Linked DNA regions of Astyanax mexicanus. Each later gene encodes a partner of the first gene's protein in a complex. Links are inferred from orthologs where the notes say so. Each region holds a gene or a part of one and is shown on either strand. Other genes may lie near its edges. The genes, in order: cc2d2a, tmem17 and tmem67.

Region 1 (10,929 bases):
GGAAAAGGGATTAGAAAGGACTATTAGCTCTACATAGAAAAGAGGTCTAGATCAGAGGTCACACTTCTTATTCACAGCTAACTCTGGCTGCTGGTTTACATTCTTATCAAGCAGAAGAGCTCCTTTTAAAAAGAAAACTAGTGGTGACCCCTGATCTAGTATATTCTACACCAAGCACAATCAGGTCAAGCTTTTAGTGAAGAAGGAAACAAAGCAAAGATTTTTTTTTGCAGGTGCTTAAGCAATGCCACTGAAGAGCCATTTTTGGTTCTATAAAGAATTAGTTACAGGGTTTTTAAATAAAAAAACTCAGTTTGAAAGTGAACCTAAATGTAAACCAGCTGCAACTGTGCATGTTGTGTTCACACAGCAAGTAAAGAGTAATTTTTCCTGGTTTTCTTAAGTATAAATGAGATCTTGGACTACTTTTTGTATAAAACATAATTTTTAGAACTCCAGATCTGATACTTTCAGCACAAATACTGCTACCCTTCCCTTTTCAGAACAAAACATAATAAAACTATTATTATGTTCTCAATTATCTAAATGCTGCAGTCTTTCCACAGTGGTACAACAGCACTTTTCTATTGCACCCACTTTTATTTTTTATATTAGCAACTTTTTATTTAGATTTTCATGTGTGAGATTTTAGATATCTAAATTGGCCAGTCTCAGTTCTCAGAGTCTCACAGTTAAAATTCAGCTACTCTTGATAAGGCGTTTTGAATTTGACAGAATAGCAGCTTGTTAAGGCAAGCCTCCATGTTCTGTGCATTCTTATGAGTTGTACAGAACCTTCAAATTGATAAAGAACCTTACTCTCTTGTAACCAAAAATGTTTCTTCTATGGCATTGCTCAAAGAACCATTTGTGGAACCTTTATTTTTTTAAGAGTGTTGAAAGGACCGAACATCAGGGTAAGAAACTTTGTTCTAGAGCACAGCAGGGCTGTTCTGGAACATGATAGGACAGAACACAGCAATAAATGTTAGAACGCAAGCTGAGGCGAATAGAACCAACCTCCACCGCAGTGCGTTCATTCTCCTTAGTCACATCAGAGTCGGAGGGAACCAAAGCCTAACAGTAGAGTACAGAGAGTACACAGAGCGTCTTACCAGCTTGTGTGTGTGTGCTATGTTTGAGTATGTTAGTATGTGTTCATGCTGCCCCAGCACCTCAATAGGCATGTTGAGTCATGCTCTTTTGCTGAAGTCGTCTGCAGTTAACTATAAACAATGTCTTTGTGTGTGGATTCAGTTAAAGCTGAGTGTGTGAGAGTGAGCCCCAAGCCCCACATTAATGTATACTTTTGTCAGACTTGCAAAGTGTTGCATTTTAGGGAAATCCCATGGATTAATAAACTGACCTACTACTATAGCATGCTGGCTAATAGTGAAAGTACAGTAAGTGATTATACAATTGAACAAACAAAATTAATTTGCAGACAAAAACGATCTATTTCTGAGAAAACATAGAAGCCAAGACTCAACCACACTGCCGCAACACATACCTGAGTGTCATCCTTCACTTTCCCCAGAGACTCCTGCAGAGCCCTCCGTTTCTTCCGCAGCTTGTCCCTCAGATCACTAGGGAAGAGCACTAAACAGTCAGGTGACCTTAAAACTGGAAACTGCACACACACTCTGTGGAACAGTAGGCTGTGGGGTGCGGAAATGCATGCACTAACCTGAAGGCACTGATTTTGAACTGTCAGGATAGAATAAACTATGTGCTCATTTTTTTTCTCCCAGTGTAATCAAACCAGTTATTCACACCAGTGTCATTATTATACCACATAGACCTTTGAAGTCATGCCTCATTCTGTAATACTCATGATTTGGATCTAACATTGATTTTCATTGACAGAAATAAATGTTATATAGTAAATAAATATGTCCAGAGGGTCTAGCACACAAAACACAGGGTTCTGAACAGATTTTTTTAACCACGATATATATAACAAAAATAAAATAAAAAAATAAAAAATAATAATAATAAATAATAATTTAAAAAGGGAATATTTTTTTTAACAGTCAGTTATAAAATTATGTTCTATCTTTCAGTGTGGTTGGAACAAAAGCTTTTACTTTTTCATTTTTTACAAACATTAACTAAACATTTTTCTGTGTCAAAAGTTAACAAGAAAATCAGGAATTGACTTCAGAGTTTTTATCTTCTTTTTTTAAGGTTTTGTACACTTCTGCCAAGATATAGGGCACAAGCGCTATTTTTTATCCTTTTACTTTGTTTCAGTAAAAAGCAATCAAATCACAACTCAATATGTATTTCTCACTTAAATAAGGTTTGGGCAAAAACATGATGCTTTCATGTTTTTAGTTAGCCTGGGTGCTACTATTATTATTATTATCATTCAATGTGCTTACATTGTAAATCTAATATTTAAGACATTAAACCTATACAGGAACACATGCTGAACTATTCAGTAGACGAAAAGTGTGTTTTATACTTATAATTCTTCTAAAAAGCCACATTTATCTTTGAGGACAGATCTGCACACTCTTAGTATTTTAATCTCAGTGTCTTCATAAGGTAGAGTCACCTGGAATAGTTTTCTCAGCACCTTGAAGGATTTTCTGGAGGTGCTGAATAGGGTTGCAGCGGTAACCAGTTTCACGGTATACCATGGTATTAAAATGCACGGTTATCATACCGTGTGTGTTTGCTTATTACCGGTAAAACGCAAGCCAGCGGAGAAACTCACCCGCGCATGCGCAACTCTGCTCCGCTTCAGCTGCTCAGCACACAGCGGTGAGAACAGCAGAAAGTGCATCAGACTAAACAAATCTCCGTCCGGCCAAAAAAAGGCTAAACTAAAATCAGCAGTGTGGGACTATTTCAGAGACCCGCCGAACGCACCCGAGGATGGTTATCCGATTTATAATCAATGTGGCCGTAAAGTCACAGCTAAAGGTGGACATACGTCAAACCTGTTCTCCCATCTCCAAGAACACCACCCCGCCGTGCAGCGCAAAGTATGTGTTTAGTTTATCATTTTAATCTGAACATAAATAAAATCTCTTTGTAGTCGTGCACAACCCATGCGGTAAGCGCCCGCAAAAGCGCTGAGTTATCCGAAATTTGGGCACGCAGGTACAGGCGTGAAGTGTGTGCTACGACGGATTCACGTGTCCGTGTAAAGGTGCTCGCCGGACTGGATGTGAAAGACGCCATTCATTTACATGCGTTAATTTTCAAATTCTGACGTGCCTGTTTTTCATGTGTTAAAACCAGACTCGGTGTGAAAGCCTTAAAATAGAAATCTCTATTGTGAGGATTATGTCAGAAATAAATACCCTCTTTCTGCAGTATCTGGTTATACACCAACTTGTATAATTTAAACTTAAATAATTGTACTGAATAGTTTAAACACAGGATCTTTACTTCTTAGAGGACATGTAATGTGTGACACGTGTGTGTGTGTGTGTGTGTGTGTGTGTATGTGTATATATATATATATATATTATATATATATATTTTTTTTTATATACACCCTTAATGACCTTAAGAGTAGTGGAAAAACCTGGTTTCCTTCACCTAATGGTGTACAGTTTATTTTTTTTAAGGAGACATTATCTATATAGTTGTTCCAGGTTTCTACAATAAATAGTTAATTGAACAAAAAACCTTTGTTGTAATTTCTTTAAGGGTCAGTTTAATAATATATGTAACAAACTGTGATACCGTGATAACCGTGATACCGCGGTATTTTCTGAGACGGTTATCATACCGTGAAAATCTCATACCGTTGCAACCCTAGTGCTGAACAATAGTTACTGCTTTTCCTTTACGCCTCGAAGCTCCAGCTCATCCCAAATCACCAAGCCCATTTTCAGGGTTTAGATCAGGGGATTGTGGAGGACACACTTTTTTGTTTACTATGTAATTCGACTGTGTCCCTTAATTGTTTTCATGTCTGTAATATTAATCTACAATGTAGAAAATAATTTAAATAAAGAAAAAAAATGACTGAAAATAGGTGTCCAATACTTAGACTGGTACTATATTTGGTATCATCATTTCTTCTCTACTACTACTGTTTCAATAAGTTAGCTCCAGTGCTGCTCACCTGGGAGTGGACATGATGGAGGAGGAGGTTCTAGTTTATTCTCTTCTGAATGATATTCAGCCTGTGGATTGTGTTTACTACATTTCAGAGGGCAGGTGAGAGAAGAGTCGAAGCTTTTCTTTGGAGAGAACGACAGGGTTCACCTGAAACCATACAGAGAACAGCATATTTAACCCTTTAACAGGCCAGCATTTTAATCAATGATATTGCACGCATAAATCTTGAGGATTTCTATTCAAGCATTACTAAAGAAAATCCTAACTGTAACTGTACTGGAAATGATTAAAAATATTGTTGAGAAATATATATATATATTTTTGTCAAAATTAGGCATAATGCCTAAAAAATGGTGCTTTCCAAAACTTTTTAAAATCCATGTTGTTGACAATACAAATGATTTTTTTTTTTTGTTCTCTAAACCTTGTGTTTTCAGAATGTAAATAACTTATTTTACTGTAGAGAAAAGGGGTTTGTATCACCTACAGTTGTAGCCCATGTAAGTTACAGTCCAAGGCCTGTTAAGGGGTTAAACCGTTAACGTTACAGCAAACCTGAAGAGTTCTGATAAAAAAAAAAAGATATCTTGTTAACAAACCTGTGAACTGCGTTTAGCAACAGGTTTGACGTTAAAAGTCGCTCATACGAGGAGACATACTGAGTTATATTTCAGTCAGCTCTGTCTAAATACAAAAAATAAAATATGGTTAACGGATAAAAGAGCAAGACTGGAGACAGAAACGGTACCGTTAGGTTATACACAGAGGATACTAAGCTAATCCCGCTGCTAGCTAGGTAAACCTCGGTTAACTAGTGAAAATTACAGCTTTAGCGCGTGTGTTTGTTATCCAGGCGGTTGTTATCGACACTCCGCTGTGATATTTAAAAACTGAGCAGGTCTTATAGCTTTATAAATGCTTTAACACGGTATCTATTCCTGTTTATTTCTCCACACTTACTGAAACACTGAGAGTTAGCCGCCATCCTGTTCCCCCGCTGCCTGGTAACGGTAAATACTTCCCCTCAACCGAACCGCTCACACAGCGCGACACACTACCCTGCATGCTGAAAGAGGCGGGGTCTCATCTCGCGGCCCGTCTTCTCATTGGCCAAGGACACTGTCACTCAACAAACTGCGATGAGGTAAGTTCAAAAGAAAGCTGTGTTTTATCTTGTTCTAAAAAAATGTTTAAAAAAAAGGTAATAAAAACAGAAAAGTGCGTTTTCTGAAAAATACTGAATGAATAAGTAGAAGTGTTTCCCACTTCCATTCAGATTCACTAGTTTGCTTCTAGTGGATACTTGGGCAAAAATGCCCTTGCTAGATAGTTGCTATGGGGATGCTAAGCTGTTGCTAAGATGGTACTATATGGTTGCTAAGCTGGTTACTATGGGGTTGACTCCAAACTGTCAGTAGGTTGTTACTGGTGGTTGCCATTAGTGATGGCATAGTTACTCAGAAAAAGTAATCTGGGCTCTGAGTGGTCCAGCGGGCTAAGTGCTGCCACTATGAATGGGAGATTGCAGGTACGAATCCTGTTCATGTAACTTGCTATCAGCTACTTGGCCTTGATCTCTCTGGGTGAGTACATGGCACTCTCTCCCCACATCACACCAAAGGGTGACGTGGTTCAGCATAAGGCGTCTGTGAGCTGATGTATCTGAACCGAGTCACTGCACTTTCCTCTGAGCTTGTGTCTTTACCCTCCTGGTGTTGGGGCATCACTAGTGATAGCAGGAGTCCTAATGAGAGGGTAAAATGGGATAAAAATATAAAAAAATATATTTATCTGATTACTGATCACCCCTTGAAAAACGTTACATGCAAAAGTTATGTTATGGATTACTTGATTTTCTTTCTTTTTTTAAAATTACTTTCAAGTTACTTTATTAGTGACTTTCAGCCTCTGCCGACATACCCCCCCCACACACACACGCCCACACACACACACAAAAATCTTTGATCAGAGGCAAATCAGCAATCACTTGTAGCTCTCACACTTGTGTAGTATACAGTATTGAAGGACGCTCACCCAGGGTTGAAAGAGTGATCGCAGATGTGTCGCAGACACTAGGCAAATAAAATTAATTAATAAATGTTGTCAACACAGAACAATATCAAATGTTACAGTACCACAGACAATTTTTAATGGTTTTAAACTCCAGTTATAAGTCTTTTCAACATGCCCTGCCTTTATCTCCAGCATCAACTCACCAACCAGTCAGCTCACAGTAACAATATTGCTACATTTACTGGGTAAAATGGAATGACGTAGAATAAGAGAACAACGGATCGAAAGTGTTTCTTCTGTATTTTCTCTTTCCCCTGTTATATCAGGAAAACACTGTTAAATAGTAGAGGGAACTTGTGAGTGAGTCCTGAAGAATGGGGGCGAATTTTAGCTAAAAGCTAAAAACTTAAATTAAAAATAGTATTTCTTTAATTTTAGAAAGCAGAATAATGTATTTTACTAGTAAAGCAATGAACGCATACATTTCCATACAGAAAACAAGTTTTAGGCGCTAGCAATACTGCTACTCTGTGCTGACTGGTTGGTGAGCTGATGCTGGAGTTACAGCCAGTCTAAAATTATCAGACATTTATAAACTTTAACTCTGATTTTGCTCAGTTTCTCCATATTGTTGCTGTCCAATGAAAAACAAGAATCTTCTAAAGAAGAAAAAAACTTCTAAAGTTTTAATAGAAGTCAATGTAAAATGTATTTATTTCAGGTCATTTTAAAGTAGTCAATAAATGTTGGCACAGTGTAAGGGACAGTTTGTGTGTTCAAATTATGTAGTGAACTAAACATTGGACAGCAACAATATGAACCTATTCATTTTGTACTCCATTCAAGAGGTATTTCTAGTTCTGTACATGTTTAGTTTTGCCGTGTTCTCATGACAAAACGTGTCGTTGAAAAGAAGCCAGATAAGTCTGCTTACATGGTTTTCACATGACGCAACAAACCGTGGTTTTACTACAGAGGAACTGATAAAGCACACCCTGTGTTGCCTGTAAGTCATGTAGTGTGAAAGGTACAACAACTGATATGCTGCTATGGTATGCCTGTTGGTTGCTATGAGGATTATAGATAATAATTCTATGGTTAATGTGGTGTTGCTAAGTGGTTGCTATACGGGTGCAATGAGTCTTGTGAAACATTTTTGTTCCAGGATCAGAGCATGTTCTTACTGTTATGATTTACACATACACATACCTGTAGTGTTTTTATTGGCTTGAAAATATGCATTCCAGCTGATGATGATGATCATGTAAAGATGGAAATTCCCCTCTGCATGTTTTATCTGAATACACACCGGAGGAGGAACCAAGGAATATTTACTGTAGGAGGAACCAAGAAATGCACTTTCCATTATAGAGAAGTATATTATATCTACACACTTAAAATGGTTATTTATTAACTCCTCCGTAATGTGTGTATCTCTGTAGTTGGTTTATCCTCATGACAGACTGTGTTACTGACATTTACACTTTTTCTTTGCAGAAAAGAAAAACAAATGATGAGACTTCAAATGATGTGACACCTAGACTTTAGGACTCTTATGAATAAGCTAATGATGCAAGCTAATACATCACAGTTCACACAGCCAAGACTCAGCCCTGCATCCTAAGCCTCCGGAACAGTACTATCTGAAAACTGTCAAAACTGCATTCAAGGGACTAAACATTGTTCGGTTTCAGATCCAATGAACAGAGCAGTAAAAACAATGTAATTTTTTTATAGACTGTACAAAGTTTTTATAGACTGTATTATATATGTATAATGTATAAATATATATATATATATTTACAAAAGTATCTTATGTACCAATGTGTTGATACAACTGTTACAATAAATACAAAATATATGTTCCACCATCAGATTCAATTACAGTAATGTAGACATTATATAATATTTTCATAATTAAATTGTACATTAGTTACCTTATCTTAAGAAATATATATAAAAGCACCACATACTAGACCATGACACTGTACTGAACAAGAAAATGCATTGCATATACACAGTGTTTCTGGGCTAAATAACTGTAAGACTAGAAACTCCAACTTGGTACATGTTGTGTTACATGGGTCCAGGTCTGCTAACACCACATTAAGCTTATCCTTAGTCTAAAATTATTACTGTAAACACTTGTAAATCCTTTTGGGACATGGAAAAATAATGGTACAGACACTTGTCTGTCACAATTTACTATAAATTACATACACTGTGGCAAGATATAGTTGGGAAAAGCCTAATTCTGTGCATGGAAGTGTTTTTCAGCCCTGGTCCTAAAGGTACATTGCCCGGAACAGTTTAGTGTTTTTCCACTGTTTTACTGAATAAGTCTTAGGCTTTTTGTAGTGGTTGGGCTCGCTCTAGTAAGTGAGCCCTCTGAATCAGATAGTAAACAGACCCAAGTGACGGTGTTACTCGAGGCCCCCCTCTGGTGGCTGGAGGGGGCCCTGACCAGGGGCCAATCCTTACACTTTTAATGAGCTAATTAGTTGTATCAGGTGTGCTGGAAGCAGAGTAAACACTATAAAGTGAAGGGCAGTGATCTTCCAAGCCCAGGGTTGAGAAACATCTCTCTAATGAATGCTTCATTATTTACGTCTAAGTGTAATCCTCTGACAATGTATCTAGGTAATTAGTATCTGCATAGAGCAAAAACCCTGAAAAGAGACTGTCCGCCCATCCAGGATCAGTAAACAGACCGTTCTGATCCTTATAAAAGATCTCTAGCCACACTTCATCCTCTGGGTTGAGGTACATCACTGTGGATCCAGAAGCCACGTCATGGTTCCCGGTGTTGGCATCAAAAGTCTTTATACGGAACTCTCCATTCCGCACTAGGCCGATGGCCAGGTGCTTATCAGCTAGTGTGATGTCATAGGAGAAGTAGTAGACTCCTGGGTATGCGCAGATGAATTTGCCAGTCTGCGGGTTGTAGTGCCCACCTTCATCGAAAAGGACCTTGTTGAATTTGATTGGTGACTGCTCAGCTGGGTAGCTGCTGGTGATGCCCACAGAAAAGGCTGATTTGGGCACCAGGCTGCCACAGAGGCACGTGCCTGGGGTGCCCCGTGGTCCCCGTTGACCCTTCTTTCCTCGCTCTCCTGGTGACCCTGGTGGTCCCGGGGGTCCTGAGTCTCCAGCATCACCCTCCGGACCTCGCTTCCCTATGGGTCCTCTCTCTCCACGCTCGCCGAGTTTACCCGTTGGCCCCACTCTTCCTTTAATGCCTGAGAGAACACAAGCAGGACAAGCAGGGGTTAAAATAACAACAAACCAGAATTCATGATCCTGAACATAAGAGCTTATCTTTGAAACACAGTGGAGGTGTCCAGTGTCATGGCTTGGGCTTGCATGGCTTTTTCTGGAACATACCCATTAAACTTTATTTATGTACAAAGGAACTCTAGAAGTCTATAGAAGCATTTTGTCTGTTCGTTTAAAGAAAGTTGCTTCATCGTGCAGCAAGATAATGAACCATAACACTCTAAATTACAAAGAACTACATCAGAAGTAAGAATTGGAAGGTTTTAGACTGGCATAGTCAATCTTCTGACTTAAAACCTATCAGGAATGCATTTTACCTGCTAATGAGGAGTCTAAAGAGAGAAACGCCCCAAAACAAACACCACCTGAATCAGGCTGCTGTGAAAGCCTGGAAAAGCATCACTAAAGAAGACTGCAAAAGTTGAATGGGTCATAGACTTGATTCAGTTATTGCAAGCAAAAGACTTGAACTAAATATTTAAGTGGCAGTCCATATTATGTGTTATATATGTGTATATTGTGTTTAATGGTACCAGTGTGCTGGAACAACCATCCCTGCTAAGACTAATATATATTTTTTATAAAAACTGGGGTACTGGGGAGTTCTTCTGGCCACGTCACATGTCTTTACGTACTTATGCCACATGTACAGCCTCTGAAAGAGGATCCGGCTCAGTTTTACTGAACGTGAGTGGCTGGTGGAGCAATGGAGACTTCAGAAGGGGAAACTCATTCACTCATAGTAAAACCAAAGTGTTTAGTTGAAGTAAAGTTTCTGACTGAGCACGCTCTCTCTCTCTGACAGAACGCAACCTGGAATTGGATTCATCCGCTCTGAAAGGAGACCACATCACATCTGCCCAGTTTAAAATGATTCTTCCAAATGCTTGGTGCAATTATCCATTCTCACCAGAGAGGGCCCTAAATCCCAAAACTTACAGACATCAGCTTCAAGTATTATTTATTTCACTCAAAAAACAAAAGAAAAATGGGTAGGTTCAGACAGATGGTGCTTTTCTGAACTGAGTATCAGATCCAGACGGAAATTAAAGTTGAAATGTTAATGGTTTGTTTTATATTATAATTTTTTAATGTCAAAACAATTTTTTTTCAGTCTAAAACAAAAAAGGAGTTTCCCTCACTGTTCCAACACTTTTGAAGGGGACTGTATGTCTCTTGAAAAAAACTACTCTTTTGATTTACAAAGTTATGGCTTGTAATGCACATTTTTTACCGGATAAAGGTTAAATAATAACTGAACAGTAACATAAAGTACAACATCAGACTTTTACTGTGGCTGGTCCCAAATGGATGCCTGCCAACAACACATCTGCTTGAATGCCTGTTATAAGTGTAGGGATAATTTTATTGGCACTCATAGTGTTGACTTAGGTAGTGATGACTGATGTGGTCACCAGCTGAAATGGAGCCATGTAAACAAACCAAATCACAAATCTGTCATTGAAGGCTTACAAATTGTCAGCTTTTCCATGATGTTTTTCAAACATGTTCTTACCTGCCTGGCCTAGCATGTAGACGTATATTCCTTTGTGTGCA
Region 2 (11,195 bases), on another chromosome or scaffold:
TAACACACCACACACATCAGTGTCCAAAGAATACCTACTTTGTGTTGGTCCTGTGGGGCTCTAATATGTGTCAAGTGTAGAAACTAGAATTTATTATTATTTTTTTCTTTCTTTCTTGTCTTAGCTCCTGTAATTGTGCCGGACTCTATGCAGTCGAATGAAGCAGAGCAGCTCAGTAAGCAAGAGAAAAATGACGTCTCCTTTTTACCTAATCTAAGAAGAATTAACAAGAGGTTTATTTCAGCTTTTTTCCTTTTTTTTAAAATTATACATGGTTCTTATTTTCGTAGCGTTTTAAACCAGAATGCTGTATACTGGAATGCCTCACAACTATTGTCATGACAGGCCCTCAGGTGACCAGGCTGGACTAGGAGGTCTCAGACTGGGCAAGTTGCCAGAAGGGAGTGCAAGGCAGTCGGCACCCTGGGGAGATGCAGCTTTACCTGGGCCAGCAGAGTGAAGGCAGGTATATGATTTATATCCTTTGCTTTTATTTTATTTTATTTTGAGTTAGCACCTTATAAAGACCAGTGCAAAAGTAGTCATTCCAGTTTAAGGGGATTAGTTTCTTCTTATATCTTAGGCTAAGGCAAAGAGTAATGCAAGAACTCTGTTTTGTACCTGTTTACAGAGAGGAAGCATGCTGTACAGAGACTTCGGAAATATACTACTGGAAAAGGCTAACACCGCATAAGGAGCAGGCGCAGAACACAACAAAGAAACGATGGATTCAGAAGGTCTGCAGAAGGTTCAAATCAGCGATATTCTAGGAAAGAGCGTCTTGGTGTATGCATGTTTATCATTACCTCTAGGCAAAAACACACATGTCAGGAATACTTCAATAGTACAGCATGTCATGGCTGGTAAAGCAAAAGGAGTGTTTCTAAAACATCTCAGAGTACACGTAATGGTCTAGGACCTGTGCTTGTTTCTAAAGTCAAGGAAAACATAAGTAGGGCTCTAAATTAAGTTTCACAATTGGTACTTCTTCTCTCCAGGGGCTGGTTGCACCAGCTGTGCGCAAGTTTACATGTCAGCTAGTTGTTTCAGATTTATGCATAACTAAATTAAAAATGGGTTGAACCACACAAATAAGTATGTATACAGTAGCTAGTATCTATTAAATATTAACACATACCCTAAGCTGTGACTAAACCAAAAGCATCCAATACTGCTTTGAGACAGATGACAGGTAATCACTTTCACTGCTTACATAATTTCTGATAACACAAAGATATCATATATTGGCAAATATAACTAGTTGTTACTAGTTAAACACAACCGATTTGATATTTGTCGAATTTGCTCAGTGTTTACTATTGACTAAGTAGAGTCTTAAAATTATCTAAACAAACTTAACCTAAAAAAGGAACATACACAAAAATGATGCAGGCCAGGTTATGAATGTAGGCCATGAAGTACAGAAACATCTATTGTGTCTTTGTTCAGCTGTAGACAGGTTTCATATTTTACCATCTTTTTGAGACAATTATGTATTTTTCAGCTATTTTAATAAAAAACACTGATGTGACGTGACTGCTGTGTTTTCTCATAATGGACAGAACATATTGTGAAGAAATGTATTTATGCTTAATATACTTAAAACATTAGATGCAACCTTTCCATCTTCCATTATTTGTATATCCTTTCTGAATCTAGGCATCTATTTTTATTTTCATATTATATGAAGTAAGACAGACAATGTGTACTTTTTAATATATTTTTAAATAAAAAAATATATACAAATAATTACAAAAAAATACTATGACAAAAATAATTGGTAAAAAAATTGTTAGAGAATGATCCGAAATATTTCCCACCAATGCTATTTATGGTCACTTTGGTTCTTTAAACGTGTGCAGATCTTCAGATTTAGAAGCATTCGTTATGCTCTAAGTTCTTGAATTCCATTAAACTGCCGAAGATGGAAGCGGCTTTCGGTGTTCCTGACCATTGCACGAAGGGCAACAAAACCAGAGAGAGCCTGTGAATGATATTTGGGGTAAAACATCAAACACAAATGAGTAAAAATTAATTAAAAAAAGGATGAATTGAATTAAAGGATGCCCATGAGAGTGCTGCCCATACCTCTGCTAAAATAAATAGAGCGAGAATGATATGCACTCCTCTTTCCAAAGGTTGAATGAGTATAGCTTCATTAAAAAGCAGGAAGAGAGTCAATGGAAACTGAAGAAGGAGACTTAGAAGCCAAAATCCAGCCAGTTCGGGAACCTGCAAAGAGAAACAATGTTTGATTATTACCTGCCAAACAAAAAGCTCCTGCATTTTATTTACTCTCTCCACTAATGCTGTTACATACATTTAGATTTCACATTTTATTTATTGTCTATATGTGAAGAGTAATGTTACACATGTATATAGTTTATATTCAGTACCAGTCAGGAAGTTTGGACACACATCTTATTCAATGTGTTAACTTTCTTTTTATGTTTTTTTTACATTGTAAATTTAACATTGAAGACATTAAAGCTATACAGGAAGATGTGGAGTTATTTTGCAAACAAAAAATGTGAAACAAACCAGAATATATTTTAGGCTACTTTAGTAGTCACAATTATTATTTAGCTTTGAGGATATATTTGGACACTCTTGGTATATTCTCCGTGGCTTCATTAGGTAGTATTACCTGGAATCGTTTTCTCCAGCTCATCCCAAATCACCCATCTCAGTTGGGTTTAGGATAGGGGATTGTGGAGGCCAAACCCCTTTTTTCCACTACATAATTCATTGTGTGTCCCTAAATGCCTTCAACATTAATTTACAATGTATAAAATAAATTTAATAATTCATAAAAAAAATTATGTTCAATGTATGTTGCGTGTATATATATATTTTTTGTATATAGCTATTGTGGTCTTAAGTTTTTTTTAACTTACCTGCACACCTAATGTGATCTGACAATAAACCAGATTTGACATTGATTCTCAATAAAGATGCGTATGGATATTACATTAGAGAAGTCTTTACCTTTTCTTGCAGGTTCCCAGCGTAACCCAGGTAGAGTCTGATACCCTCGATGAGGGTCATTAAAATCAGGACGGTAATTAAGATGAACTTGTAGTAGTCTGGAAGGGCTGGGTACTAAAACAGAATACAAGGTAAGCTACCTTCACTAACTTAGGTTAGTTACTACATACATCCAGGTCAGACAGTTACCAAACTAGCGTTAGTTAACCTAGCTAGATTACTTACTTTGAGTTGCAGCATCACCACTTCACTGATCCACCACAGAGGAAAGAACCATAGGTTGAAGAAAAGGGACATCTGAAGCGGCAAACTGGACACGACTTCTCTGTCTGTATAGTGAATACATGATAAGAGTGGGGAGAACTGAGTGTCTAGTCTACCACATTTAACAGCTAACGTTAGGTTACTACACTGAACTGTAAGCTAGTTAATTAATTAGATAACGCTAGCTAAGCTGGTTTAGCCAATTAAAACACGACAATAAATACACAGTAGCTCATGTGCGTTCAGCTTTGCACGCCAGATAACGTTAGTGAGGTTCATTTTCCTTTTTAGAAGTTTAGTTGCAGCTTCTTTGCCAAAGCTAACGCTAACCTAGCTGATGTTATTGTTTTAGCGGTTAGCTAGTTAGCACGCATGAGATGTAACCCAGCTAGCTCACAGTTGGATATCAGGACAGACTCACTCTGATTCAGGAATTTGACATGATCCTCAGGGGTAAGTTTAGAAAATGTCTGATCCACGAAAACAGTTCTGGAAAAATCCCCCAAACGTCTTCTTATGGGCTCCGGTAGATCCATGATGGAGCACACATCTCAGCCTGACGCTAACGCTAACTGCTGAACATCATCTCCTAGCAACAGCTGTGGGCGTGTTCAGCAGGGAACCGCTGTACTTGCTGTAGCTCTGCAATCAGGGTTGCCAGGTCCGACAAACATATCCAGACAAAAGTCAGTCTAAAACCAATTTACAAATGTTGAGTTTTTTTTACTTTACCAAATTGTAAAGCTCTGGAATATAATCCAATTACTTGTAATCATGTTTCACTACACTCCAAGTCTATTTCACACCAAATGTCTCCTTTAAGGTAGAGATAAAGGTAAAAAAAAACATAAAACAGATTTAAACAATTCCTTTAAAACTCAAGTTCACAGATGAGTTTTCCTTTACTATATTTACTAATATTTAATATATTACATCAATATATTCCATATATTCCATCATTCATGTAGGCAGAGACACTCCCAAAATTTCACACCACTGCATTGACTTTAAGCTGGCACTAAGTAGCCATGGCCAACAGGTCAAAACATAATAAAGTGCATGCTCTACCCTGATTGGTGAGTTTGCTTTGCACATATAAACCAAAGGTAACCAAAGGAAATAGTACAGTGACAAAATACACAGGCTACTTCTCTATTGTCCACCACTGTTCATGAACCTAGTTAGCTTACATACGATGGCTTTTAAAAACCTAAATAAATAAGAACAATAAGATAGAAGAATCTCCTCATAAAAGTCATATTACAAAATAACTTTATTGTAGATTTAAAATGGCTCAGTTACATTAACCAATTCACTAGCACAGTTTTGAGGAAAAAGGAAGCAAAATCCTAAATTATGTATGCCAGTATTAAGTCTTTCATGTTTGTGTGACGCCAGCATCTTGGGGCTTGACCATCATCATGCAGGAGTCAGAGGATCATTTCCAAGGATGCTGATGTTCCAGTGTAATCCACAGTGTCGTAGAATCGGAGACAAGATTTATGCTGCAGGAGCTTCTCAGCCAGGTGACTCTGTCTTACTTCTTTACACAGTTCAGCACTCAGGTCTGTGTACCTGTACAACACAACAAAAAAACAATGTGCAGTATCAACACAATACTGTCAGAATTAGTTGCACAACCATGCTTCTGTGTATCAACCTACAAGTCTACATTTTCTGTCTTAAAACTTGACATACCTTACATACATTTTTATGTTCATGTTTTAGGTAGATCAGATGTGTTAAGGACCCATTTCCCCATTTCATTCACTCGTCATGGTGAGGGCGGAATTTTTGAGTGCAAGGCAGGAATACTTACTAGAGAAGTTGCCAGTGTAACTCAGGGTACTACACACACTCCATTTACTCATATCTAGCTGTAATTTAGAATAGCCTACCCACCTACTGGTATGTTTTTGGGAGATAGGAAAAAACACAGGAGGGTTCATATGGAAAACACAGAGAGACTGGAGCAAGGATTTAACTCCCACAGCCAAACCACTAAAGCTGTATAGCTCATACAGTACCACACTTTTTCAATCCTGCTTAAAAAGATTGCAAAACATACTTTTTGCTTATTTGTCCATGTATGCCAGGTCTACTAAGCTGCATTAATTCTGCTCTAAATTAATTGTTGTTGTGATAATTAGGGCTGTAAAGAACATGCAGAGACCATACGTATCACGATACAGGGGTTACAATTCAGTACATAGATGTATTGTTATACTGTATGCAAGGGGATATATTTGAATTGTTTAAATTAAATAATTTACAATAAATAACATCTGTCATAGATAAAACACTATTATATGTATTAAATCTGAATAAAACAATAAAACAAAACTTTACTTTTTATGCAGTGAGAACAGTGGGATTTAACAACAGAGTACAACACTGCTATCTTTTTGAGACTTTTGTTCATATTTTTGCTAATCCAGGCTCAGCAAATGGTATCACTATGTATCTTTGGTGAAGGGAGCAGGACACATATTTGTGTAAAATCCTGTAATAGTACTACTCAGTTCACATGCTACTACAACTTTAAGTGATGGTTCAGTATCTCATAATGGATTATTCACCTTTAGGTTAAGCCAATGACTAAAAATACTATGTTACTAATGCTGCTTTAAGTAGACCTCCTGATGCATTTCATACCTTATAGGTCAGAATGAACAAACTCTGGTATTGATAATGTGTTTCCAGTGTACACTAAGGGCTCCTATGATACAACAAAATATGAATTTGTAGCCTACCTGCAAGATAATCTCCAAAACAGCAGGGTATTTATGGTCATCAGAATTGCCAAAGTGAAGAAAAATCTCTCCAGATTGCCGTCGCTGAGTGTATTTGGATAGAAGTTCCCTAAAGGCAGAAATGATCAAATGAAAATGATTCTTTATTAGCAGTGGCTGATGAACCATTGCCCCCGAGTTTTTGCTTTGTGTTAACAAAATGCTGAGAAAGCCTTACCCCCAGAAACAAGATAAAAGAACTGAGTCAGAACAGCACCCAGAAAGCATCCTCCTCCATAGAAGAGAGTGAGGAAGTGTAGGGAGATGCCTCTGAGGTTACTAGGAGTCATACAGAAAGAGATGAGGGAGCCTAAAAGTAAAAGGATTAGAAAAAAAGCATGAATTACATGAATCAAGGATATCAGTGACATAGTAGAGATGAGCTGCTTTCAGCTAGACAGTTTGGGTCTATTTATAATAATCTGTGAATCTTTTGGAAATCAGTAATAGGACCTAGTGTTTAATGTTTTGCACATTATTAAAATGCATACTTACATGCTGGTGTGACAAATGCTTCTGCTATACCCAGTAAGACATACTGAGGTGCAAGTTGAAAACAGGCCATTGAGGACACCTGTAGTACTGTTCCTGACAGTGTCTGCTCCACCTGAGAGAAGTCTTTCCTGTGGATCTCAGTAATCCCTGCAGCTAGTGCAGACAGAGCTGCACAGGCATGTCCCGCTGCTGCAAGAAAAGATGTCACAAAGTAGAGCTTACTACACTCCATACCTGTCACACTTACTTATAATTCATTGGACATGCATACTTATGAATTTGGCTGGAGAAGGAGGTGTTTTCTTCAAAGACTGATAACAGGTGCCAAAAAATTCCAGTAGTGGTGCTAAAATTAGCAATGGCAGGATACTGATCACATTCATAGCTGCTATAGGAAGGAGGAAACCATTGAAGTTCAGATTTGAATGCATGGTCTGGAGGTAGTATCCTGATGGAATCTGTGAAGATGCAAATTATGTTATTGGTTATACAACTGTGGAATGGACATCTGCGCTCAGAGATAATACCTAAACAGAGATAATATGAATTATAATAATAATAATAATAATAATAATAATAATTGAAGATTAAATGTTCATCATTACATTATGTATAAGATCAGTTTATGTACAAGTGGTGGAAACGATATGTCTGAATGTTTGTGGACACCCCTTCTGCAGCTATTGCTGACACAAATGTACAAATGGACATATATAAACTGCTTGTCTAGTCCCTGAGTGCTACCAATAGTATAGGAATTTTTCCAAAGCAGCTAAATGTGAATCTATTGGCACTATGCCTAATGCCAGTAGTGGACTGGAGGGGTATAAGTGCAATCAAATCCTCACAGCAATGCTCCAAAATCTAATAGATTTCCCTGGACAGGAGCAGGGGTTTTAGTACTTTTGTCCACTTATTTTGTATTTTATAGGTGCAATTATAGGAAGTTTAGGTCAAATCGTACAAACACCTTTTTATTGTGTAACAAACATTAACAGAAAATTTTGTTTCGCATATATACTTACTTGGGTTATACAAGCCCGGTAGAGCAGCTGCAGTCCAAAAAGAGGAAAAAGCTTAACCAGGATCTTAACATTTTCAACACTGGTCTCACTGTAGCGTCCTCCATTGTTCTCCTTGGCACGGTCCAGCCAATTATTCACGTCTCCACTCAAATGACGATAATGGAGGCAGGACATTTTTAAGGAGTTTAGGAACACACCCAGTGTGGTCAGCAACAAACTGGCTGTGTGTTTTCCCACACATGAAAGGTCAATGGAATGAAGGAAGAGAAGAAGACACAATGATCAAATACTGTTATGTGAAATTCAGTGTCATCTATATATAGAGGGTACACATATGATATCACAGTTGGGGAGAGTCTGTGTGATTATGCCCAGTGGCAGTATACTGAGTGGCAGCATTAGCGTTCATTGTAAATGCTGTGAAGACACAAAATGGGAAAGAGCCCTTGTGTGATTAAATATAAAAACTTGTTGAAATCAATGTACATAACAATGTAAGGAAACCTAATTTCTAGTTTCTAATTGGTCTGTTGCTCTAGAGCCCAACGGCCTTCAATTTAAACACATGACCACTTGTTTCATAGCTGGTTTGGCTGTTTCAGTCTGACCAAACGACATGTTCTGGCAGAAACAGGACTCCAATGAATACCATCTATTGCATATAATTTATTGCAGAAGTTTTGATCTATGCAGAATTATATAAACAGCACATTTATTTTATTTGTGTATATTTGTATATCTGTTTATCTGTATGTGTTTGTTAGTCCATTACCTTTCTTTGGATGAAAGATGAGATTGTTGCGTGCCATGTGTATCGCAACAAGAGCCAATAGAACAGAGGTGAAGGGAATGAGAAAGCCCAGGTTTTTACCCACAGACTGCTGAATATAGGAGATCCCCAGGAACACAACTGTAGAATTGAGATTCACAAGCCAGTAGAGCCTGTGGTTATAAATACCATCAGTTTTACATCAATAGCATAACCTTCCAGAGATGTACAAGCATTTTGATTTGCTCTTAATTATCTATAGTTAATGATTTAATGTCTTACCAATTAAAAAAGGACAGTATCTGGTGTTGGTCATAACCCTGAAGGTAATAGGCACTTAACGGGCATAGAATAGCACGGAAGCCCCCAATACCCAGGGCAGCGGCTAGCAGCCCAACGTAGAAGAGAAGCTGTTGCTCTCGTGGCTCTAGTCGGTGAATAATATTGTGTGTGTCAATGTAGAAATCCTCAAAGGGGAATGCAACAACAGGGAGCATGGCAGTACCTATGGACAGAAAATCAGGACTTAATGTAATGTGAATTGTTATTCATTCAAGGCTTGTAAGACAGTGTTGGACTCTTGGAATATATTGACATACAGGAGTCTACATGCCTTCAGCAAATCCCATGCTGTGGTATCTGATATACCACTCCAAACATGTTCTCCATCGTGACCATATAACATCTGATTCATGTAACAACATTTACCACAACCGTGTGCATTGTACAGACCTTAAAAATGCTGATACAATCTGCATTTTAACAAACACACATTAAACAAATTATTAAAACACATTTTAATCAACACATACATGAATCACATTGTAAGTTTTTTCTACATATTTTAGTCATACATTTTTTTGCATTGTTTCTTAATAACAACAGTGTCAACTTACCTATAAAATGGAGCAGAGCGCAAAGATAGAGTACTTTTGTCCTCCCCAAACACGTCTCTGCAAACCAGCCCACAAGAACAGGTGTGAGTGTACTGGCTCCAACAAAACACAGGTTGACTGTGGCAGCTTGGTAATTGTGATATCCCAGCTTGATGGTGCAAAAGAGGATCATATTGCAAACAATCCCAAAGAAGGTGAACCTCTCGAACAATTCCACAAAAAGAATACAGATAATCACCTGCAGCTTCTTTCTGGACTTTCGAGGCTTATATGGGGTGACCATCCCACTCGGGCGTCGAGCGGTCGAGACCCTTTGCAGTTGACGGCCACCATGGAGGCCAGGAACACTGAGAGACGCCATGCTGCTTCTTCAGGTCCTCCTGTGTGAAGTGCTGCTTGAGCACTGCAGTATCTTCTCTATCCAATCTGGGAAACAACAAAGCAATTCCTCACAGGACTGTGAAGTCTTATTTGCCAGCATCTACACGTGCAGAAGCTCATGCTGATCTTCTCCTGTGACTTCTGAGTAATGTTTGTTCACCTGTTCTCCTCACTAGAGTATGAACTGACTGCTGCTGCTGGTTTCTGAGTCAGCTTATTAGGGTGGTGGACATGATGCCAGTGTGGTGACACAAGCCTTTATACATGAAAGTGATGTCAGGAGTGTGTGAGATATTTTTGTAATGAGTTTCTAAGTGGATCTAGGTTATCATTTATTAGTCTGTTAATATTAGTACCCTCCCCCCGGTGAGGAGAAGTGGGCCTTAGGAGAGGTGGGAATTGTGAAATGTGTGTAAGTGACTTAGCTTATTATTATTTTGTGATTGTCTTGAATGCTTGAGTACTGACATAAAATGGTCTGTTGACAGCATTTGACTTTGGGACTTCAAGCAAGGATATCATTGCTGTCAAACAAAAAACAAATCAAGTAGCAGCTTTACAGGAGAAGGAAATACCTTCTTGATTTTCAGTGGAAGTCAGCATTCATTTTGAATGCTATAGTTTAGAAGATTTTTAGACACAATGATATGTTAACTACGGTGGCCGAGAAAGCCCAACGCAGTGCAAATGGAAAAGCGCTGCAAAAGCACAAAACACATCCATCAAAATTACAACACAGGCGCAGCAAATAGACAAACGCGCTGCAACTAGAAAAACGCGCTGCAAATAGAACCACAACACAACGGAAGTGAGTCACAACACAACGGAATTTTCCCGGGGGACCTTAAAAGATACTGTACCAGCTAAGCTGCGTCTTCAGTAACGTCTCGGACTTCACTATGTGTACAAAGGACAATAAGTGGCAAACAAGGCGTTTTGTGAAGCAGAACTTTTAATAATATGCACACAACCGTGGTAATCACAGGTAATAAACATAACTTACTTTTCAGAAGCTTGTTTGCCACTTATTGTCCTTTGTATACAGCTGGTACAGCATCTTTTAAGGTCCCCCGGGAAAATTCCGTTGTGTTGTGACTCACTTCCGTTGTGTTGTGGTTCTATTTGCAGCGCGTTTTTCTTTTTGCAGCGCGTTTTTCTATTTGCTGCGCCTGTGTTGTAATTTTGATGGATGTGTTTTGTGCTTTTGCAGCGCTTTTCAATTTGCACTGCGCTGGGCTTTCTCGGCCACCGTAGTTAACACAATATAAAGGACAATTGCCCAGATTCAAAAGTTCAAAACTTTTAATGCACAATATATTTAATTTGTAAATAGTTCAGGAGAAACAGACTGGTTTCATAAGCATGCATTAAAGTAGTCCGTGCTTTCATTCAAGTTTTAATGATCAGAGATTCCTACAGCATGTCACAGACTAGTGTGAAAATCTACGCTCTGTACAAAGGCTCCAGAGAGTGTTTTGCTTAGAGAGGATTCAGGGGATACACTACTGCATACAGACAAAATACTGTATAAAAGTCCAGATGTGTTGTTTAATTTTGGAAACACAGAACTCTAATTACTCTAAAT
Region 3 (10,684 bases), on another chromosome or scaffold:
AGTATAAAAAAACCTTATTAAGAGTGATGAGATAATAAGTAAATTTGATATTTAATTAAAAAATATTCTTAGGCAGAAAAATAGCAAAATATAGTTAGGTACGATTGTCCAGTCATCAACAAACACTATAGTGGCTCAATGGTTAGAGCACTGGGTTATTGATGAGTCTTGTGGGTTAAATGCCCGAGGAAGTTAAGCTGCCACTGCTGGGCCCTTAAGCAAAAGCCTTAACACTCACTGATCTGCAGGTGCCACAGTGAAGGCTGTACATACGGTGAGTATGTGTGTGTTTACTGCACCGCTGGGTTAAAGGCATATGCCAAATTCAATCTGTGCGCAACACTCATGGTAAACGTGAAGATCTTTAATAGTGAAGTATGGGAGTGGCAGCACTACACAGAAGTGGCTGAACATCTTGTTGGACATCAACTATATTTATAAGTATTACTTCATGATAATACTGGTTTGCTTAAAAAAGGACAATATTTCTATGCTATTTTTAAAGAAACTTGTCTAAGATTGTTAAGCCTTTAAAAAGGACTGAGGAATGGAGTCGGAAATATATTGTCATTACAGCATCCCCATTTCTAAACTAAAAAAGCTAACTTCACATACCAAACATGTCTTGTCTGATCAACTGCATTGAAAACATATTATACTGATTCTTTACCAAACTATTCATATTAACAGGGATCCAAGAATAAGTCATTTGTGGGCCCCATGTACCACTCCCATGTACCACATAATCCTTCATAAATAATGTTAATGTAATGGTACACATGTAGTCATTACTAAAGGCTATAAAGGACAAGGTCACCTGTTGCCTTTGGCATCTGGGGCAGAAAAGTCTGGTTCTGTTCCAATGCAGGCCTCACATACAGCTTCTTGTAGAAGAGACCCGCTCACATTTCTTTCCACTAAAAAACACAATAATTAAAACACAATTATTTAATTATTTAATTCAAAAATCTATTATTTTGAATAATTAAAAATGTATTTTATACAAAAACTATTTTCTCACAAAAATACAGAAACATAGATATCTGATAGAATTTACATTTAATCATTGAGTGCTTTCAGCGAAAGTGTGCATGTGTGGATGCTAGCTATTCTACTATATTCATGTCAGTGGAACACCATTGATTCTAACTGTGGTGGCTATATATTTGTGGTGGTTGAAGTCATAACATTATATTTAGAGTTTTCACAATATTGCAAGACTAATAGACTTTAGGAAGTGCTGATATAACATAAATATTATTTTACTGTTTTAAGCATGCTTTTACTCATAATGGATTCATATGTTTCTTTTGCCACATAATGGCTACACTGTGACCTTGTACCACAGCTAATGTTTAAATCACAGCATCAGACAGAGACTGCATGCATTTAGGATATAGGAGTTGTACAAGCAGGAAACCCTTGCTGTCAAAAACACAGATTATAGTGTTATAGTGCAGATATTTATAAAAACACATTATGCACTTGCACCACAGAATACAACACCACTGAATACAATATTGAAGGCTGCTCTGATAAAGATAAAGACAAGCCTGAAACAAAATAAAAGAGTCCTCCAAGGCCGAACCTTTTCCTCTGTCTATTCAAATGTGCTCCTCACTGACATTCTTTCACGCTGTGTGTATTCAGTGTCCTGTCTGTTCTACACTGGTAAAAAATAAAGGGTCCATTATGTGATTTTAATGTGCAAGTAAACCCTTTTTTTCTAGTCATGACATGTTGCATGGCTATGCATATTTTAGGGATGCACCAAATATCCGCTTAATTAGATTATTTGATCAAACACAACAAAAATACCAAATAATGTATATCAAACATCAGTGTGCTTTGTTTGTATGTCTTCTGGGGTATTAAAAATGTTCAGCTTTAAGTTTAAAAAGCAAGATATAATAAGGATTTGAAATTAAACCACAGTATAAGGTATTTTAATGTTGACATCATAGAACAGATTTAACATGGGATCAAGATGTCCACAAGTAGCCATCATGTATTGTTAATACGTCTGTTCGATCTAAAATACTCACCCAGGATTTTTCCTTCAGGACACTGACATTTACCATCCTCCCCCACAGCGCTTGGACACTGGATACACTCGTAACCATCCTGACTAACACCCTGCAAAATACAGCCGGGTTATTGTTTAACTGTCTAAATGCATATTATAAACATGGTAATATATTTAAAGACACAGAGCGGACAGATTAATACCGGTTTTGAGTCAGGGCACTTTTGACAGGTGACTGATCTTCCATTGCTGGTTAGCACCTTGAAACCTGTCTGACACACGCAGCTCAACCCTGTGTCAGAGCACAAACCTCAGGTTAATGATAATAAGCTTAGTTAAAGTTAGCAACAGCTCAGATCGCAAGACCCTACAGCAGATGGAGGACAGCCCTCCATCACTGACATCTACACCACAGGCTGCATCCACAAAGCCACCAGCATTGTAGAAGACCCCACCCATCCCTCACTCTTCGCTCTGATGCCGTCCGGCAGAAGACAATGGAATATCCATGCCTCCACTACCAGACTCTGCAACAGCTTCATCCACCAGGCAGTCAGACTCCTCAACACACAAAGACGGAATTGACCCCCCCACCCACCAAACAGCCACAAACTGACTATTGTATTGTTGTTCCATGTTGCTCCATGGTTCCGAAGGAATGTAATAAGGCATGATATGGTGTAATAACAAAAGATTTGGTTTGTTGCCTGAGGCAACACTATGCCATAAAGCAGTGGTTCTCAAACAGCTGTCTTTTCAGCTACAGCTGTATTTTAGCAAACTTATAGACTGTGTTATATCTGTTTTATTGCTCTTTTATATTTGCATTGTTCATTGTAATCTTCATGTTGTTTTTTAGGTGGACAATTTCAAGATCTGTCCAGGGACAACGGATGAAAAATAGCCTTTAGGCTAATTCTGGTGCATTTACAGTAATGTTAATGCACCAGTTGCTCTTCAGCGCTTAAAAAGCAGAAGTTCGCTCCTTCAGATGATTTTATCGCCGGATGCCAGATTGGACCTGGCCAAGGAGATGATGACAATATAAAATGCAGACTCTGTGCAACGTGTTCTGGAAGCACGTCCACATTACGATGCAGAATTTGCAGTTTCATATAAAACAGGGGTCAGATCAAAGCGGGGCCGAGAATTTCACTGGGGTATGCTGATCGCTTTCTGAGTGTAAATTCTCCTGGCACTTGTCAATAAACTTGTGAGCGTTGGAACATCACTTTTGATCTTGAGAGTCTTCATTCTCCATACAACGAACACGCAGGACTCAGGTGTGGTAAAGAGTTCCAGTCCAACAATATTATAATAATATAATTGTTATATATTATCTACTAGAGACAGATTATATCTGTCCAGTATAATTTATTTAACTTTAATCCTGGATATATGGAGATATATGGAGTGCGTTATTAGTATCATGACATTCTGGATCATTGACTTCTGTTACAAATCTGCTAAAAAGTTTTAGGGGTGTGCCATATCATATTATATGCAATAATAAAATGTAATTTAATTTTGTAGTAGTGTATGCTTTATTTTTTTATTCAGTGTTTTGTCATATAGCCAACAGTACGGTTATCGTCAAAATACCATGAAATATTGTTGTGGTATTATTTTAGGGCCATACCACCCACCCCTACTTGTAAGGTTTAGTTTGGCCATAGAGGGTTAACTTCACTAACGTTAATCTAGGTAACTAGGTTAAATAGTTAGCTATGCTAGTTAGCTAACTATCTAACAACGCCATGGTGGTGGTAGTGCTATACAGCCCCAACACAACAGTAAACCAGTGAACAGAAGCTGTATCAGACAGATATATACCCTGAATCTGTTTTATTATCTAAATTAAAAGCCCTGTTCCCTACCTAGCCACAGTTAGCCCGCAGTTAGCCCCGCTAGCTCCTGCTGCTGCTGCTGTTATTTAGTTAGCGTTAGCTGGGTTAGCTCTACCTGATTTCCCGCTGATTTGATTCGCTCCACACTTCGCGCAGGATAAACTGGATATATCGAAATACCCCCCGGGACCGCAGTCCGCCGGCTGAGAGAAAGATATAGAGAACTGCTCGCAGAAAAACGGGTTAAACTGCAATAATATGAGGAAAAAGCAGAGGAAAATAAGCGGTGATTGTAGCGTCCCCGTCGCCATGGTGCAGAACAAAAAGCCCCGCCCCTTCCGGCGATAAACACTCCTTTCCTCTCCCAGTTAGTTCAGTTATACAGCTCTGGAAAGAGATAAGAGAGCACTTAAAAATTATGAGTTTCTTTGATTTTACCAAATTAAAAACCTCTGGAATATAATTAAGAGAAATATGGATGATCACAAGCCATCAAACCAAGCTGAACTGCTTGAATTTTTGCACCAGGAGTAAAGGCATAAAGTTATCCAAAAGCAGTGTGTAAGACTGGTGGAGGAGAACATGCCAAGATGCATTAAAACAAGGGTTTTTACTCCAAATATTGATTTCTGAACTCTTAAAACTTTATGAACATGAACTTGTTTTTTTTTTTGCATTATTTGAGGTCTGAAAGCTCTGCATCTTTTTTTTTATTTCAGCCATTTCATTTTTTTTTTTTTTTTTTTTTTGCCAAAAAAGCTCTAAGCTCTAAATGACAATACTTTTATTTGGAATTTGTGATAAATGTTGTCCGTAGTTTAGAGAATAAAACAACAATGTTCATTTTACTCAAACATTTACCTATAAATAGCAAAATCAAAGAAACTGATTCAAAAAGTAAAGTGGTCTGTTATATTTTTTCCAGTGCTGTATGTTCCAGTGATGGAAAAATATAAGGATGCTATTTTCTGTCCTCAATCTCTGTTTAGTCCTTAATATATAAATGAAACCTAATGAACTGAAATATGCATTTTTTTTTTCATTCATTGTATTTTTTTTTAATATTTGATATTAACTGTATTTTTATACCACAAACCATCCCTAAATAGTAAAATAAACTATTGCGTTGCATTTATTTTTTATTTATTTTTTTGCTGTAACTTTTGGTAGGACAGTAACGCAATTTCAATTCACTGTATGTCCTGTACATATACTGTTCTGACAATAAAACTACTTGACTTGACTATGCAGGACTCAATAAACAGAATATACTCCCTCTTTTTCCCTCCAGGCCATAAGACTCTAAGTACAGCAAACTAAAAACTCTGTGACACTTTTTCATTCTGGCCACTATGGTCATTCCAATGGACATTGTTATGTCTTCTTGTCCTTCCAGGACTTCTCTTTGGGTGTTCTTGGACGGTTGTCTTTCTTGAAATAATACTCAGTGCACACTGCCTTCTTAATCGGAACAAAATATTTTGTTTCAATCAGAAGCAAAGTGTGGGAGAGAGCTTGTCAATTCTCGGTGTCCCAGTTCTCTCTCTCTCTCCCAGTCTTGTGTTTTGAACAGCTTATATACTCTTTCACAGTCACTTATATGGTACTCTGCATACCTAAAGAATTCCAACCACCCTATTTACAGCTTCACCATATATATAGAAATGACCTTTTGAGAAGCGGTACGTTGTTTACCTGAAACCACATGTGACATTCCAACATGTATAGAATTCTCAGAAATAGTTCAGCTGGACACATGAACCCATCTGGGCTAAAGGCTAGAAGGGACAAACATGCATAGTACAGAATACAATCAACATATCCCCATCTCTGTGAACACACCTTCTGATATGCCCTGTTATATTATTTTTTTATAGTTTTATCCCTTTTCTGTACTAATAGTTTATTTATTGCCCACTGTTTACATCTCTACAAATTTGCACTGCTAAATTTAATCTGGGTATAACACATCTGCGTTCTTGCACTGTTTGTATGGCTGACATCAGTTTTCACATCAACTGGTTTTCATTGTTGTTTTACTGTTTTTAACTGCACTACCTCCATCATTACACACAAACTAAATAAGACTCTACTTGTTGTATTATTATCTGTATTATTATAGCTTATCCTTCTTTTGTAGCTTCTGAGTACTGTATATCTGCTATTGGATGTGTACTGAATTTCGCTCTGGGATCAATAAAGCATCTATCTAAAATAGAAAATATATCAAATATACAGAATAAACTAAAAATGCATATACTAAATATACAGGGATATACAATAGTGAATATACAGAATAGAAAATATACTAAATATACAGTAATATACGAAAATAAATATACAAAATAAACTAAAAATGCATATACTAAATATACAGTGATATACAATAGTAAATATACCGAATAAAAAATATACTAAATATACAGTAATATACGAAAATAAATATACAGAATAAACTAAAAATGCATATACTAAATATAGAGTGATATACAATAGTAAATATACAGAATAGAAAATATACTAAATATACAGTAATACACGAAAATAAATATACAGAATAAAATAGAAAATATCCTAATTATGCAGAATAAACTTAAAAATATACTAAATATACAGTAATTTACAAAACGAAAAGCGCATAATAAAATAGAAAATAAACTACATTTTAAGAAATATGATATTATTATTATTAGTAGTAGTAGTATTAGTATTATTCACACAGTAATATTAACTCTGTTTCTTTAAAAGTTCGTAAAGTTTATTCACAGTTCCATTGGCTCTCCAGACACTGTTCGCCCCGCCCCCTGCAAAGCCTCCTCCCCGCCTATTGGCTGTGCACACTTCCTGCCGCTCCGCCCCTTTAAAAGTTGTGTGGAGAGAGCGCGCTGCCTCTGTCTGAAGCACGAGGCGTTAGGTTGAGGCTGAGCTCGCTGTGAGGCTTGTGAAGCTTGTGAAGTGAATAAACGCGGGTGTTTGGAGCGCGGTTTAAGAGTAGTGTCCGTTTTTTCAGGAGAACTGAGAGGTGAGTGGGGTGTGGAGGAGCTGGCAGTGAACCGTTTTTCCTGTTTCTGTGTTTCAGAGCTGCTGGTTCTTCTTCTGCTGCGGAACAAAGTAGGGGGGCAGGAGGCTCGTGGGGGCTGCGGTTCAGCTACACGGGGCTGTACCGCGCTGTGTGGCGGATTAAACTGCGCCCGATGCGGTTTCTGGGTTGAAATTCTCCTCAAGCTGTGTATTCTTTTGTGTTTTGTATCTCTCAGCAGTGTCACGTGTTCGACGAGGCAGTTTCCCGCCATCATGGTGATAGTGCGGCGTTTGCTGGGCCTCAGTGCCGATGCAGGCTCTGAGGACATTCGCGCCTTCTTCCACGGCCTACACATTCTTGAGGGTGGAGTTCACATCATTGGTGGCAAGAGAGGAGAGGCTTTTATTATTTTTACCACAGAGGAAGATGGACAGCTGGCCATGGAGCGCTCTGGGGAGATTCTCAAGGGATCATCGGTAACCCTTGAGGTTAGCAGCATAGCTGACTTGAAACATAAAATTGAGTTACGCTTAAAAAAGCAAAGAAGCTCAGGAGTGGAAAACAAGAAGTCTGATGCAGAGAGGAAGAAGGAAAAAATGGAGAAAGAGGCGGAGGAGAAGAAGAAAGCAGAGTATAAAAGAAGAAAGCTGGAGTTGGAAAAGAAGGCATTGGATCCAAGGCCAGCACCAGAACCGCAGCCATCAAAGTCACCAACAGACTTGGGCACAGCTCTACTACTGGGCCTAGTGGCTGCTATTCAAGGATTACAGTCAAACCATAACAACAACATCATTATCAACAACAGTAGCAGCAGCAGCAACAACAACCAAGAAAGCCAAGCCCAGTCTCTGCCAGTCAGTTCTCACCCATTACCTGCTTTACCTGAGCCATACCATTCTAAAAACCATACAAATCAAAGAACAGACCATCATACGTACAACAACAATAAAAAGAAAAACTACAACCACAGCTACAAACTGCAGGAAAGCATTCCACAGCCAGTGAGAAAAGTGCATATTGAAGAAGAAAAAGAAGCAACAGCAGCAGCACCTGAGAGAGGTAAGGCCAAGACCAACTGCAACGAGCCTGGATATCTTCGTCTTTATGGGCTTCCCAACAACGTGACCCTACAAGATGTCCGCACTTTCCTCCAAGGCCTCTCTGTGCTGGATTTCATACCAAATGTCTTCCTAGGCCGCGACCAGTGCTGCCTAATAAAGGTGGCTACTTTGAAACAAGCTGAAGAGGGCCTAAAGTACAGCCACATGAGCTACATGGACTCCTATGTGGAGGTAAGAACGGCCTATGAAAGGATGTGGAGCTACGCTTTAGAGCTGGATGATGAACATGGCCCCTGTTCCACCACATCCTCAGAACTGGACCACCGCCTCTCTCCAGACAGACATTCGTCCTGGACGCCGCCACTTAAGCGACGTTCAGAAGACAGGTCGCTTTCAGGATCTCCAAAGCGGCAGCGCTTTGACTCTCAGCCCCCTGGACAAGTGCACTGCGTTATGGTAAGGAACCTTTCTCCAAAAACTACCAAAACCGAGATAAAGGAGCTATTTGGCTGTGTTCACATCCCAAACAAGAAGATCATCCATCTGCAAAACTGCTGGGGACAGCGAACGTCCACAGCTTTCATCATGTTTACGCACCCAGAGGATTACGCCGCAGCCATGAACATGGATGGTACACATTATGGCTCAAAAGTGCTAGATGTATCATCCATCACAATGGAAAAAATGAGGGACATAATGTACAAAGAAAGACATAAAAAGGCTCAGAGACCAGCGTATCACAGAGAACAAGACTGGTCTGAGCGTACCTGTATCTATGCTCGGAACTTCCCAGCTGATGTTCGGAGAGGGGAGGTGAGAGACTTTTTCTGTCTGTACCAGATTGACGAAAAAGATGTTACACTCCTCAAGGATGAGAAGGGAAACAGTATCGGGGAGGCGGTAATCAAGTTCATGTCTGAAGAGGCTGCCAAAGAAGCTTGCAGTCTGCATGGAAACATCTTTTTGGGACAAAAAATTATGCTTACCTGTGTTTCACCACAGCAGATGAAGACTATTCTGCAGGAACCACATTAAACCAAGAGCTCTGAGAACATTCCAAGGAGAAGGACTGTCAAAATGTGCCTGGACGAATAAACTGTCAACTGTACATATAAAAGACTTGCAAGTACTACAGCACTTGTCTTAAAGTGTTAAACTATTTACATTTAAATGTAAATGCACATTTGCATGAGAAACACAGTCGTACAGTCTTAATTCAAAAGCCTGGTGTTTTTCCTTGCCCAAATTAACAGTGGTCACTATAAAGGTTTTGATTTCACAACTGTGTTTCTCCTGTCTAAAACATGTTACATGTTTAATGTTCTAAAAAAAGTTTTTTTATTAGTAATGTGTAATAAAAATGTGAAATGCGCATTGAGATGCAATCAAGTGGAATTATTTTCATGGTTGCAGTGTGTGTGCACACACTCATGCCAAATGGTATGGCTGTGTCTGAAACTGGAAATTGCTTAGTTGACTTTATAACCTGCCAGCTCAATACTAGATATTAGTGTTTACTGTCATTAGTATTTTCACCTAATAAAAAAAGTACATTGATTACCAAACTATAAATTCAGATGTTATTGAGTGCCTTACTGCATCTGAATCCTATCCATGTTTAAGTTTCAGATACAGCCTTTAAATAATTCCACATCTGTATGTTTGCTCATCAAAAACGAGGTATATGAGAAAACAGCTGCCAAATCTTCATGTGTGGACAGATACTGACGTTTTGTTTGTGTTGGTCTGGACTATTCCAGGACATATTGTTGTTGCCTAAAGACAAACTTGTTTTCTAGTATAGTCGTTTGTACTAGAAACTTTACAAAAGAAGAAAAATAACATTGATTTATGGAAGACAGTATAAAATGTACTGTAAAAATAACTGCATTTTGGAGCATTCCTTATGATTTAGTTTTCACACATTATAAATTACAACTGGAGAGACATGTTTTTATTTAGTCAGCAACAAAATATGTTTGTAAAGTGTTGAGATGGATGTAAAGATTCTAAAGTGACTTGTTAGTACAAGTAGTAGTAATTTCTACACTCAAGCAAAAATGTTCTATATAGCACTAAACTACACATAATACGCATTGATGCTGGATGCCAAATGCCCTACGCTTGTGTTACTGTTTTTCTGCTATGAACACACCTGATCCAACTTATTAGCTCATTAACAGCCCGTTTTAGACTGAAGGATGCGTGTTAAAGCATTAAAACATGCAGGGCAGTTTTATATAGAACCATTTTGGTTGTTACTGAGTCAAACTTCCTTTAACAGGGCTCTCACTTTTTAGTTAAGCATTTTCCAGGACATACAGCAGTTTAAGACAAGGTAGATTTGTTTGTTTTTTTGACAAGTGTAACATAACACTAAAATAAAGGTTATTTAAAAGTTAGGTGAGCTTATCTGAACTTTAAATCCTGCTTTAAAGTGATGGATTTTGTTCTTGCTGGAAGTCAGGGAAAAGTTAATATAACTGAATCTCAGTGTACATTCTACACATAGTTTATGTACAGATAACAAAGGGGTCATTTGGAATCTTAAGTAATGATTTTGAAGATATATATTTTGATTCCAGTCATAAATAAATGTGTTCATGTCACACACCTTTGTCTTAAAAGCTCCTGTTTCACTTCCTGTTATGTCAAACATATGAGCGAAATTAACCACAGCGTTGGCTTATTTGCATTACAAGAACCAAACAGACTGAGGGTGAGATTA

What was found.
Region 2: cc2d2a (region 1) and tmem17 share a complex: the UniProt entries of both Homo sapiens proteins name them as parts of the tectonic-like complex. The link is inferred for Astyanax mexicanus from reciprocal best matches to the Homo sapiens genes CC2D2A and TMEM17.
Region 3: cc2d2a (region 1) and tmem67 share a complex: the UniProt entries of both Homo sapiens proteins name them as parts of the tectonic-like complex. The link is inferred for Astyanax mexicanus from reciprocal best matches to the Homo sapiens genes CC2D2A and TMEM67.

What each region holds. Positions count from the first base shown.
Region 1 is NC_064420.1:12,023,067-12,033,995, forward strand, and holds the start of cc2d2a (coiled-coil and C2 domain-containing protein 2A), read right to left. Parts: upstream 5,191-10,929; 5' UTR 5,044-5,190; intron 4,231-5,043; 5' UTR 4,102-4,230; coding exon 4,088-4,101; intron 1,587-4,087; coding exon 1,511-1,586; intron 1,078-1,510; coding exon 1,021-1,077; intron 1-1,020. Other genes in the region: complement C1q tumor necrosis factor-related protein 7, read right to left, coding at 8,707-9,335. UniProt on the Homo sapiens protein: Component of the tectonic-like complex, a complex localized at the transition zone of primary cilia and acting as a barrier that prevents diffusion of transmembrane proteins between the cilia and plasma membranes.
Region 2 is NC_064409.1:54,422,144-54,433,338, forward strand, and holds tmem17 (transmembrane protein 17B), read right to left. Parts: upstream 3,857-11,195; 5' UTR 3,789-3,856; coding exon 3,674-3,788; intron 3,318-3,673; coding exon 3,214-3,317; intron 3,103-3,213; coding exon 2,989-3,102; intron 2,233-2,988; coding exon 2,089-2,232; intron 1,985-2,088; coding exon 1,886-1,984; 3' UTR 1,707-1,885; downstream 1-1,706. Other genes in the region: agbl2 (cytosolic carboxypeptidase 2), read left to right, coding at 125-233, 346-460; slc15a5 (solute carrier family 15 member 5), read right to left, coding at 4,683-4,827, 6,006-6,114, 6,223-6,354, 6,540-6,728, 6,811-6,997, 7,565-7,785, 8,337-8,506, 8,616-8,838 and 1 more. UniProt on the Homo sapiens protein: Transmembrane component of the tectonic-like complex, a complex localized at the transition zone of primary cilia and acting as a barrier that prevents diffusion of transmembrane proteins between the cilia and plasma membranes.
Region 3 is NC_064408.1:110,658,902-110,669,585, reverse strand, and holds the start of tmem67 (meckelin), read right to left. Parts: upstream 4,209-10,684; 5' UTR 4,185-4,208; coding exon 3,989-4,184; intron 2,319-3,988; coding exon 2,230-2,318; intron 2,137-2,229; coding exon 2,046-2,136; intron 918-2,045; coding exon 818-917; intron 1-817. Other genes in the region: rbm12ba (RNA binding motif protein 12Ba), read left to right, coding at 7,168-8,991. UniProt on the Homo sapiens protein: Required for ciliary structure and function. Part of the tectonic-like complex which is required for tissue-specific ciliogenesis and may regulate ciliary membrane composition.